Linked DNA regions of Nothobranchius furzeri. The protein of the gene in region 2 interacts with the protein of the main gene of each other region in a pairwise test. Links are inferred from orthologs where the notes say so. Each region holds a gene or a part of one and is shown on either strand. Other genes may lie near its edges. The genes, in order: ubl7b, ap1g1 and AP-1 complex subunit sigma-2.

The links.
Region 1: the proteins of ap1g1 (region 2) and ubl7b interact in binary tests that used the Homo sapiens proteins (3 or more experiments, as listed by UniProt). The two-hybrid records come from large-scale screens. The link is inferred for Nothobranchius furzeri from reciprocal best matches to the Homo sapiens genes AP1G1 and UBL7.
Region 3: the proteins of ap1g1 (region 2) and AP-1 complex subunit sigma-2 interact in binary tests that used the Homo sapiens proteins (3 or more experiments, as listed by UniProt). The link is inferred for Nothobranchius furzeri from reciprocal best matches to the Homo sapiens genes AP1G1 and AP1S2.

What each region holds. Positions count from the first base shown.
Region 1 is NC_091749.1:74,652,429-74,656,641, reverse strand, and holds the start of ubl7b (ubiquitin-like protein 7b), read left to right. Parts: upstream 1-1,392; 5' UTR 1,393-1,481; exon of another isoform or gene 1,482-1,537; intron 1,538-1,867; 5' UTR 1,868-1,876; coding exon 1,877-2,051; intron 2,052-2,117; coding exon 2,118-2,237; intron 2,238-2,325; coding exon 2,326-2,411; intron 2,412-4,213.
Region 2 is NC_091749.1:59,385,941-59,390,199, reverse strand, and holds the start of ap1g1 (AP-1 complex subunit gamma-1), read left to right. Parts: upstream 1-1,432; 5' UTR 1,433-1,548; intron 1,549-4,259. UniProt on the Homo sapiens protein: Subunit of clathrin-associated adaptor protein complex 1 that plays a role in protein sorting in the late-Golgi/trans-Golgi network (TGN) and/or endosomes.
Region 3 is NC_091749.1:41,412,246-41,416,263, forward strand, and holds the start of AP-1 complex subunit sigma-2, read left to right. Parts: upstream 1-1,197; 5' UTR 1,198-1,304; coding exon 1,305-1,307; intron 1,308-1,750; coding exon 1,751-1,929; intron 1,930-3,364; coding exon 3,365-3,473; intron 3,474-3,576; coding exon 3,577-3,714; intron 3,715-3,865; coding exon 3,866-3,913; 3' UTR 3,914-4,018. UniProt on the Homo sapiens protein: Subunit of clathrin-associated adaptor protein complex 1 that plays a role in protein sorting in the late-Golgi/trans-Golgi network (TGN) and/or endosomes.

The DNA.
Region 1 (4,213 bases), about 15 Mb from region 2:
TTAATAAGGAGAGGAGCCTATTAATGCGCATTATATCTGTTATATTAGCGCACAATACTTCATCCCAGTTGAGAGCCATTTAAAAGTCCCTGCAGTCACCATGGTAGAATAACAAGCTCTAGAAATGAGACTTTATTGACCAAAACTTTCCTTAGCAGGCCTTTCCAACCCCAAACATCTGAACTATGGCTTTGATGCTGGTGCAGGAGGGTTTCCGGTGAGAGGAGGGCGCAGTCTGCGCGTTCATGCTGTAGTTTTCATCACCTTTAGATGCTGGAGGGGCTTGGAGACCCTCTGAGTTTCTCCCACAGAGAGAAAAAAGCTGAATTAAGGCGAGTTTCGAGCCTGAACGCAGAAGTTGGTCCTCCTGCTGCTCAGTGACTTCTTATTTCCTCCACAGCTGTTGCTCGTTTTCTCACCGAAGTTAAACACTCTTAACTCCATGAATACTCGCATCTCCTTGGTTTCTGCTCGTTTAGATACTTATTTATAAACCATGACCGTATTCTGGAGGCAAAGCCCGAAACTCACCGACCGTCCAGCGGCGGAGACTCTCTCTCTCTCTCTCTGAGGAGTTATCTTCTGCAGAACTTCATTCCTCCACAAAGTCAGCTCTTCTAAACCGGCTCCACTCTGGTTCGTCTCTAAATCTACAATCGTCCGAGTTCGGGATGTTTCATTGATTTGGGAAGCTTCTCCTAGAAGAAACCACTCCTTGTTGCTTTGTCCAGCGGTGATGTCATGCGGAGCCTCCCCCGGTACCGACCCCCACACACGGGGTTAACCGTTTACTGGACGGCTGGAGCCCGTCATCACACCATCCTAGTCATGTATTACTGACTTTGATGCTTATTCATAAAAAGGTTATTAAACAGAAATAGTTTTTTTTATAAAAACCCTAATTTCGTTAAATGTTACTGTATATTTTAACTCATTTAACTACTATAACTACTTAGAAAATACACATTTGTTCTTTATTTACGGAAATAATAGTTACATAAGGGGTATTTTACTTTATCTACACAAAACAATATGTACTTTTATTTAATTTGTTTATTTGTAAAAGAACAGGTGAGGGTATTATGTTAACGTTAACGTATCTATCTATCTATCTATCTATCTATCTATCTATCTATCTATCTATCTATCTATCTATCTATGTATCTATCTATCTATCTATCTATCTATCTATCTATCTATCTATCTATCTATCTATCTATCTATCTATCTATCTATCTATCTATCTATCTATCTATCTATCTATCTATCTATCTATCTATCTATCTATCATTTACTGTTTCGATTTATTAAACTTGCCACAAATTATGAGAACAAATATCAACGAATGTTTCTTTAGCGTGAAAAGGGGAGTTGCGCTTCTTTGGTGATGTTAAAAGTTCCAGCATTCAGACAGTGCACTGAAACGCAACACAGGCCACGTGACCAAAAGCAGGAAGTGAGTTGATTGTCAACAGCAAACGGTGAGTGAGTCACTTTTACCATCGTCCTCGGCGTTTCTAGCCTTTATGTTTGACAGGTCTGTGTTATTTAAACGTTAGTTAAGTAATTCTAATTGATCACACTGGATGAAACTTTCACGTTTAACGTAGCAAATCGCTTGTTTCTGAAGGACATGCTAGGCAGCTAGTCGACAGTTTCCTTAGTCAGCCTGCAGAAAAGAAGTGTTAGGTTTTATAATGTTAGTGAACCGTGTTGGTTTACATTATGTCTTGGCTATTCTGGGAAACTTATGTGTAAACAGACGTACACTCGTGTAACATTTTACGTGAGGAACATCTCGCTTTAGCATCGTTTTCTATCGATCTCTGTAATCCAGGAATGTGGATGTTGTATTTTCTGTCATTAGAAGTTCGAGATGGCCTCTTCAGATTGGCACCTGTCCCTGAAGCTGGTGGATCAGCCCAAATCCACTTTCCACTTCCCAGAGATGATGCCAGGGGACGTCCCACCTGGAGGATACAGAGTGGCCACCTTAAAGCAGCTGGTAGCAGCTCAGCTTCCGGACTCCGTCCCGGACCCTGAACTAATAGGTCTGTCCGCATGAGCTGCAGGTAGTCAGATGGAGTTTTTAACTGTCCTGTCTGTGCTTTGACCAGAGCTGGTTCACTGTGGCCGGAAGCTAAAGGATGATCTGACGCTGGATGCCTGTGGAGTTCAGCCAGGATCCACCTTACATGTCCTCAAAAGGATGTGGCCAGAGCCAGAGAGCAGTCCAGGTCTCTGTCCGCTTGTGTGTCACTTAAAACAAACGTGAATGCATTCATGAATCTGAATGTGTGTCATTTTGTTTTTGTATTTGCGTAGAACCTGTGAACAGAGCAACTGCAGCTCGGGAGTTCAAGGTGTTCCACGCTGCTCTTCATTCTCTCAGCTCAGCCTATAGAGACTCCGTAAGTAGAGGATCCATGGACCTCACAGAGCTGTGCTGAGTATCAGACACGTATTCAACATCTAAAAGAGCTGCATTTGAGTTATGGGTGATCATTATAGATGACACATTTGATATTTCCGGTTTTAATTACAAACCTAGATTGGATCTTACCTTCACAGCTCTCTACGTTCCATCTGAAGCCGGCACAAGTGATCAAGTTTAGTGTTGGTAGTTATAAAAAGTCCTTCTCAGTGCAAATATATAATTAATCAGATGGTGATTATTAGGGATGGACAGCATATCGGTATCGGCCATTGTTAGTCATTTTTAACGTATCGGTATCAGTTCGATAAATGAAACCGGGCCGATATTATCTACCAATCTTTGTTCCAACTAGTTGCCATTTGTCTGCCTGTTTCAGAGGGTGTGTGTGTGTGTGGGGGGGGGGGGGGGGGGTGATGTGTAATTGTTTAGTCATGTGAACAGTGAATGAAATCATCTCGGAACCATAAATGTGTGTGTTGTGCGTACATAATAAAGTAAATTCAGCTTTAATAACTTTTATCTATACAAAGTCTGCTGGTTTTAGAAGCATTAATGTCAGTTTATCGGTATCGGCCCAAAAATTTCACATCGGTGCCTCACTAGTGATTATACTAAATACATATCATGCACATCCCTCTGAAAGGACACGTGTTCATATTTGCATTTCAGCACATTGTGGTATCAACTCACATTTAGAGCTTTGTTGGTAAATAGTGGGCAGCACAACCTTCATCAGCTGTGGAGCAGAACTCCCAAAGTACAATAAATAAATAAACACGGTAAGACAAATATGTTTCTGTCCAAAGAGAGTTCTGCAGCTGTAAGATGGATTTTAAGGTCCACATATAGAAAAGAAACATGGAAACAGCAAATAAAGCAATTCATATACTAGAAACTGCTCAAAATTGTGCTTGAAGCAACCGAGCTGTCGTTGTCATCATCGTCGTCTTCCTCCGCTTATCCGGGTCCGGGTCGCGGGGGCAGCATCCCAACTAGGGAGCTCCAGACCGTCCTCTCCCCGGCCACCTCCACCAGCTCCTCCGGCAGGACCCCAAGGCGTTCCCGGACCAGATTGGAGATGTAACCTCTCCAACGTGTCCTGGGTCGACCCGGGGGCCTTCTGCCGGCAGGACATGCCCGAAACACCTCCCCGGGGAGGCGTCCAGGAGGCATCCTGACCAGATGCCCAAACCACCTCAACTGGCTCCTTTCGATCCGGAGGAGCAGCGGTTCTACTCCGAGTCCCTCCCGAATGTCCGAGCTCCTCACCCTATCTCTAAGGCTGAGCCCGGCCACCCTACGGAGGAAACTCATTTCGGCCGCTTGTATCCGCGATCTCGTTCTTTCGGTCATTACCCAAAGCTCATGACCATAGGTGAGGATTGGGACGTAGATCGACCGGTAAATCGAGAGCCTGGCTTTCTGGCTCAGCTCCCTCTTCAATTCAATTCAAAAATACTTTATTAATCCCAGAGGGAAATTGATTGCTGTAGTAGCTCAGAATAATAATAATAATCAAGTCATCAAAGATTTGTTGTATATTACAATGGCTGTTGGCAGGAAGGATCTCCAGTAGCGGTCAGTGTTGCAGCCAAACTGAAGAAGCCTCTGACTGAAGACACTCTTCCGTTGTCGGACAGTCTTGTGAAGAGAACGCTCAGGGTTGTCCATCATTTTCTTGATTCTCTGGAGAATCCTTCTTTGCATTACCTCCTCCAGCGGTTCCGAAACTGCTGAAACTCTGGATGAGTCCTCGAAAGGGCTTGGAGTTCCTCC
Region 2 (4,259 bases):
TGTAAACATGTAAAAACAGAAGAGCTGTGTTAACTTAGTATTTTCAATAAAATTAAAAGATAAAATAACTTCGTAAAATAAGTGTTAAGTTTGTCAAAGTTAAAAACGAGACTTTTTAATCATAGTACTATAATGCAATGCTGCAGCGCCCCCTGGTGTATGTTTTGGAGCCACTTGAGCATCTGCATTTGTATAATTACTCTTACACACGTTCTATTGTTGTTTTCATACAAATGTGCCTTGTAATTAAAAAAACTTGTTTAAACTGTGGCCGAGACCCGAAAATTCCTAACGACAATCCACATAATTAGCGTTAAATGCACTAACTTTTCCTAATAATAATTGGGTTATATAATTACTATAAATAATAAATCCATATTAATTAATAAACTGTAAAATAAATGTATATTTAATAATACATTCATAAAATTGTGCAAAAACAAACTGGATGCAGTACCTTACATAACAGGTAATGCAATTAAAAAATGGTTTCTTGGACAGCTCAGTAACAACACTAGGTGGCGCTACACACCACTGCTCTCCTATAGCCATAACATTGATGTAGTCGTCATCACTGAATGCCACGAGTAAACTGACCGCAGCACGACACTGACACGGCAAAAACGTACTCCTCCGCAAGGTTAAACGAAAATATGCCGTCCCAACACAATAATCAAGGTGTCATGAGATTCGTGTATAACAAAGACACGATACAAGACACATCTTACAACAGAGCAGAAAGGCGCAATGTTCAGTCACACGGAACTCTTCTGAGTGAGATTGTTTTAACGATATATAGCTGGCTAACCAACAAAATGTTAGCTATTTGAATCACTGCGAGAACGGTAAGCTTGCAAGGCAATGCATGAACAGGTAAATTACAAAAATGGTTTAGAATTCATCCACCTAGCCAGATTTCTTGTGATAACGAAAGCATAATTAAACTATTACCCATAATGTCCAGTTAATACTGGCATATCAGGTGTGAGTCTCGGTCAGAGGCAGATTGTGATGAGCTCTGGTCCAGGCTAACGTTAATGTAACTTGAGCTGGATGTCTGCGTTGTTGGCAGGTCGTTGTAACATATAAACAAAGTGCACATGAGCTATGTAATTACATTTTAACACGTGAATAACAATAGCTTCTTGCAAATGTAAAAATCTCCCAAAATAATTACTGTGCTTCGTACAAACATTTATCTGGAAGCATTGAAATACGGAATTTAAATAGTTTGTATCTCAATATTTTGCTCAGCATGTTAAAAATGTATGGGGATTACTTCAGACAATAACCATCTTTAGATATCTAAAGTAGTTAGGAGTTACAATTTTTACAAACGTGTGACTCGTTCACGTTTGCAAAATTTCCGACTATTATATGCTGCGTTTGCTTGCTTTAACCTTCTTTCACCAACCTCCGCCAGCGTAACCCTCCGCCTGCGGTAGATGTGCTGAGGCTGGAGTAGCCACCATTTTGCATGTCTAGTGTGTTCCTCCCTTCATTGCTAGTAGAGACGATTCCAGTTCTTTCCTGGCGTCATTACGGCTTGTAAGTACATTCAGTAAATAACACTTTGTCATAAATGTGCATACGTCGCTTTAACGATGTATATTTATCTGTGTTTTGATTGTATTTACGGTGTTAACTCAGTGTTAGCGCTGCATAGGAAGTGGCAGCCCTCAGTGCACCGGGGCTGTGCCTGTCAGCAGCTAAGTTAGCTGGGCTAGGTGGTACACCAGTGTCACTGTTCACCAACACACAAACATCATGACAACTTGTAACTCTGAATTTATTTTTAATATCCTTTTAAAGGCGTTTATACCAACAAACGCTCTCTCGTTTCCAGAGCATTCTAGTTAGCTAACGGTAAGGATGACTCGCTAGCTCGATAATCCAAATGCTTGAAGAAGGCCTTAACTGCATCATGCCCTGATCAATTGGCGATTAGACGCAGGTTAATGCCCCCTTTCACCATTTAGTCCATTTTGTGTAATGCTATAGAGGTAAATTATAGTTTAGGTGAATAGTGTCAGTCAAGGTGACGCTGTAGTGATTAACTATCATCGTGCCCTTTAAACGCGCACTAGCTCGTCAATGGCTTGTTTTGAAAAGTGTGCTTTGCCTTTGCAAATTTAATCACAACCGTGTTATATTTGGGAATGGCGTCGGACTGCGTTTCTTTAAATGATTTATAAACTTTTAGCCAACAAGCCTTCGGGTATCTAGGAAGCTTTGTGGTTAAAACGTAGACGGTGATCTGCTAAAGTTTTATGATATTAGGTGTTGACGTTTTGAAGAAGGCTACATTCAGATTCACTCATTTAATCACATATGTGTGTCATGTTAGTGTCACCTCACCTGTAGCTTGAAAACGTTTGATCTGTGGGAAGTCAACAGTAAGAAGGAAGTGAGCTAACCAGTGTGAGGCATGTGCCATTCTTCGGTACCTGGTGGATTTACGTTACCTGTCACATTAACATTACCACCCTTTTCTACTGCTTCAGGTAGAGCCAGTGCTCTCATGGTGATTGATGATTTGTATACAAGTAGCTGAGATGATCTTATTTGTCTTCGCCTGTTTGTTTTGGGCCAACTTTGTGTTTAGATTGCAGCATACAGCAAACAAAGTACTTTGGAAGTTTAAAGTCTTTCAACTTTTGAACTTCCTGTGATTCAATTTATCATCTAAATCAACAGTAATGCTATGGGGTTGGGCTTTGCAACTCCATTTACTAGTCTCAAGGAAGAAGTTACAAAGTGAATTCAAGTTTTATTCCTTCAGTTTGTGGAATCAAGTATTTGCAACAAGACTTTTTTTTATTATAGGAAAACAGTTTTAAACAGCCACATATGCCAGATTTACATGGGTTAAATAAACAGTATAGGCAGAAGAGTGTTGCATTCGAATCAACACCCTTTTGTAGGATTACATGGGAAAAGCTAATCTTGTTTTGTTTATATCTGAATACAAATATGGCAGCAAAAAAAAAGAAAAATCTATTAAAGTAGATTTTTTTTGTTACTGAGTATACTTTTGGTCTGCTAAAGTATAGAAAAGTAGTTTAATCAGCTCACATCAGGGGCTGGATTTACCTTCTGTGTTGATTATAAACACAGCTAGAGACCTGATTCATGGAGCCCAACACTTGGGTCCATTCTGCTTAGCTCATTTAAATGGTGTTGGAACAGACAGTAGGTCTCTGGCTTTATTAAAGTAGCCTTTTCTGTCCAGCTTCTCCATTGATCAAAGTGAATTCTTGGGTTTTTCCACAAAACCACAATCTTTAAAAAAAGGCTTTAAAAGCTCTGGTGTGCCTTTTTCAGCAGAGAATTCTACTGGAGGACAAAGTAGCTTCTTATTTCCTGATATTTGGACATTTTGTCTTTGGATAACAACACAACTCTACCACTTACTCCTTTTGCTTTGCAACATTGATGGTTTATCTCCACAAATAACACAACCCTGGAGGAGTTATGCTGTGTGGTGTGGTGGAGTTGCTAATGTTAACAGTTAGCTTCTACTAGCCTAGATGTTCTCTGCTAGTCATGGGCGGTATCCAAATTTTAATACCGTCTAGCTTCTTCCACATTTTACCACGGTGTACGGTATTACCGGGACTACGTAATTAACCAGCTCAGTGACCCAGCGGTGGAGTGTCCGCCCTGGGACTGGGAGATCAAGGTTCAGTTCCCGGTCGAGTCAAAGACTTTTAAAAATGGGACCCAATGCCTCCCTGCTTGACACTCAGCTTTAAGGGTTTGGATTGGGGGGTTAAACAACCAAATAGTTCCTGAGCGCAGCCATTGCTGCAGCTCACCGCTCCCCTCTATGGGGATGGGTCAAATACGGAGGTGTGTGATAAAAACAATGGGACTTTAGTTTAAAAACAATGACATAAGCCTCAAGTGTAATTACCAAGCTGTTGGTTTGGACCTTCACCGTTCAGAAACTGTAAAACACCAACAGAGTTTTATTTCTATTTTTCAAACCTCCAAGATAGCCACACCAATTAGACATTTATGTAATAAATGTTTTTCTTCTAGTAGGTTTAAACATCACAATAATCAACTTCCATTGAGGACTGCAACACAGGAAGGTAGTGTTTCTCATTTTCCTCTAACAAAACGTCTTGATTTCTACATTCGAGTTCATAAACAACAGTAGTTGTTTATGAATGCAGACAGGCATTTCCGACAGTTGTACAATACTTCTAAACAACGTCTTTCCTCTTTGTTTAGAGCAGAATTTATAAACTGAA
Region 3 (4,018 bases), about 18 Mb from region 2:
TCTAAATAACCTGCAACAGAACAAGCTAAAGATCATTCTTGCTCATTCAAAAGTCAGGACCTTACTGAGTAAATTCATTTATTTGACATCATCATATTAAAATATGTTTTTTCCATCAGATCACATAACCATTAACCTGGGCCAATGACCCTGTTTTTAACAGATTTGTGTGAAATGTATGTGTGTATATTTGTTGGTGGCTCCGCCCTTTCAGTCTGCTAGGCAACAGCATTTGTAGCATTTTTCAAACTGGAAGTGGGAGTGGAGTAATACTCTGGTAGGGGGTGACTTGCTCTTTAATATGTCTGTGTCCTTTGTGCTGTATAGTTCTGGAAACACAATTTTCATTTTTATTCATTGTTTTTAGTGGATGAAGTATTCAATAACAGCTTATTGCGTTTGTGTGTTTACCTGTAATCTTGTTATTATTTGTTTTCTTCCTTTTTCTCCAAGTGTGTGCGCTGCTGTAGCAAGTGAATTTCCCCACTGTGCGATCAATAAAGTATATTCTAATCAAAGTGTTTTTGGATTGTTGTTGTTGTACATTGAAGTTGCGAGACTTTCTTTATGAAAATTCTCTTCGAATAGTTCTTATTATATGCAAAATTATCTTTACTATTATTTGTTTAGAGCCGAAATAGAGACATATTTTAAGTGAAACATTTTAACACAAACATTAGAAAAACAACCATGACACGTTTTTGAAGACTTTTGTTGTTTTGTAATACCACAGCCAGCCACTTGAGGGCGACGAAAGTCCAGCAGAGGTCGGTTTTACAATTGAAGAATCTGAAAAGAAAACCAATGTGCGAGCGTGTGTGTGTGTGTGAGAGAGAGAGAGAGAGAGAGAGAGAGAGAGAGAGAGAGAGAGAGAGAGAGAGAGAGAGAGAGAGAGAGAGAGAGAGAGAGAGAGAGAGAGAGAGAGAGAGAGACTCTGCCCCTCACAACTGTTAATTTTACTTTACTCATTAATAGGAAATTACTGTGGGCGCATCTATGTAGCTGCTTAACTCTAAAAAAAGTCTTCGCTTCCTTGTGTGTTTGGTTGTTTCTTGTTGTTTTTAAAATAACACATTTAGGTTTCTGGTGGAAGTGAAATTCAGCACCTCTGATACAAAAATGTTTTCTGGATTGACGTACAACGTAAGGAATAACGGAACCTTTCAACCAATCACATTGCAGAATCTTTGCTGTGTTGACCAATCCCTGCGCTTGTTCTCACACCCAGCATTCGCTAGGCAGTTTAGCATCGAGCAGAAGGAGGAACTAATCATCTGACAGATAGAAGTGTCTTTTGGCTCTCTATGGTAATATTTTTAACTTTACTGTACTGAAGTTCAGTTCGTGTAAGTCACTGTTTTGCAGACCAAATTAAAAGTCATGAGTATTCAGTCTCGTTTGCTGTAGCTAAGCAGGCGTCGCAGGAGGGGGTGCAAATGTCACGAAACGTGGTTTAGATGTTAAAATAGGACAATTAAGCGACCTTAGCTAACGTGAGATAATCTAACGTTATGTTAAAGCCTCACGGGTGTGTTATGTACTGAGTCTAAAAGTCGTTTGATCGAATGGTACCTCCATGTATCCTAGTAAACAGTTCAGTCAAATCTAATTTCACTGACTTTTTGCCTCACGTTCATTGCTGCGTGATTAGTTCAGTTTCCCGCATCCATATACCCTCAAACATCCAGTCTTCCTTTGTTCTTCGTATTTATTTGTATCTACATGTCGACCATCATTATTCCTTCCTCAGATGCAGTTCATGCTGTTGTTCAGCCGGCAGGGGAAGCTGCGGTTACAGAAATGGTATGTTCCTCTGTCTGACAAGGAGAGGAAGAAGATCTCGAGAGACCTGGTCCAGACCATTCTGGCCAGGAAGCCCAAGATGTGCAGCTTCTTGGAATGGAGAGACCTCAAGATTGTGTACAAAAGGTAAGTTAAAAGTTTTAGAGGGCATTCAAGTACCCTCACACTTGATGATGCATGCACACACTTCTGTTTTTCCTCAAATTGACCATAATCTGCTTAAAATATTCACTTACAGGCTTTTTCACATCAATTTAGTGAGACCTGCAAAAACAAAAACGTTTCTCTATGATTTTCACTACAGCTAATTTATATAAACATTAATGTGAGAATAAAGTCTTTTCAACTGGATGCTTATTGTTACTTGTTGCCATGTTAAAATATTTATAGATTTATTTTAAAAACTGCATCTTCATCAGCAAATTCAGAAATAGTCTAGAAAAAGTTGGCTAAAGTAGCTCATACATACCGTGTTTATGTAAATGGCACATTTAAAAACATCGTGACAGCTGACCAAAGTACTTCACAAAGGAACAAGGATGCTCCGTAGTTACAGGACAGACAACAATGTCTGACATTACGGCATCACATCTAGTTGATAGAAACACAGCAAGGTATAATATCTAAAACAATGCACCACATGAACAAGGAGGTTAAAAGAGGAGGGGCTTTGAAAAGCAAAAACACAATAATGAAGACACGTGAGCAGCAAAACATAATCCAATAAAACACACATACACGGCAGATGGTAAAAGATGAAAAACCTAATTACTGACCAAAAGATAAATGATAAAAGTGGGCCTTAAGAACAGACTTAAAACGGGCTATTAATGGGGCCTGCCATACATGTAACGAGTGAATTTAGAGTTTAGGATTGGCAAATTAGACTTGCTCCTAGGGGTGGGCAATATAAACGATATCAGGTAGAAATGATAAAAAATTGGCTAATGATAGTGTTTTTGGCTATATCGCAATACCGCGATATTGCGGAGGAGGAGGCCTATATGCCTCAAGTGGCATATATTTGTCACATGAGGATATTTAAAAGCATGTCAATTTGACATGTATTAACAGAGGGGAAAAAAATATTGCAATATATATCGTTACCGCACATGCTTCAGATTATATCGCAATATAGATTTGAGGCCATATCGCCCAGCCCTACTTGCTCCTGAGACTTGTAGTGCAATTTAGGGACACACAGGAGCAGGTGATCTGCAGACCTCAAAGATGTGGAGGAGACATAGGACAGGATCAGCTCTAAAGGGGGAGCTGTACCATTACAGCCATCACACACAAAAGTTAAAACATGTAACTGAACTCGGAAACAGATTGGAAGCCAGTGCTATTCAGGATGGGAGTCATGTGGCCGCATCTGGACATGTTTGTAAGGAATCCAGCTGCTTGATTTGTGCCATAGAGGATCATGTGAGAAACCGTTTTAGGATTTCATTTTATTAACAATTACAAACATGCATGTAAGTTGTGAAAATACAAATGCTGTCCCACCCTTTTTGCTATTATTGATCTTTGCATGTCTGCTCTCTTCATACATAAATAGATATGCCAGTCTGTACTTCTGTTGCGCCGTTGAGGATCAAGATAACGAGTTGATCACCCTGGAAATCATCCATAGATACGTGGAGCTTCTGGACAAATATTTTGGCAGCGTGAGTTTTGCAAATATTACACATTTGTAGTGCTGAGAAGCTGCAAAGATGGAATCTTCCCTGACCTTCTGTAGTTTTTTTATATGGTGCTTTTGTCCTATAGGTGTGTGAGCTTGATATTATCTTCAACTTTGAGAAGGCCTATTTTATCCTGGATGAGTTCTTGCTGGGCGGAGAGGCCCAGGAAACATCCAAAAAGAATGTGCTGAAGGCCATCGAGCAAGCCGACTTATTGCAGGAGGTACGATCATTTCCTAAACACCACATCACCGTGTGCCTGAAAGCTGTCTTCTTTGCAAGTTAAAGCTTGTGTTGACTTTGTGGCTAACGCTGATATTTTTATGTATAAAATGTGTGACAGGTGTCCTGATACTTTCTCTTTACTCTTACAGGAAGCAGAGGCCCCACGTAGTGTCTTAGAAGAAATTGGGTTGACATAAATCCCCCTGCTTCTCACACTGATCTGATCACATCCATGCCTCCATTGTGTCTTCTCCTCATTTACCGTGTCAGTGTTGTGTTTGTATAACCACCATGAGTGTACT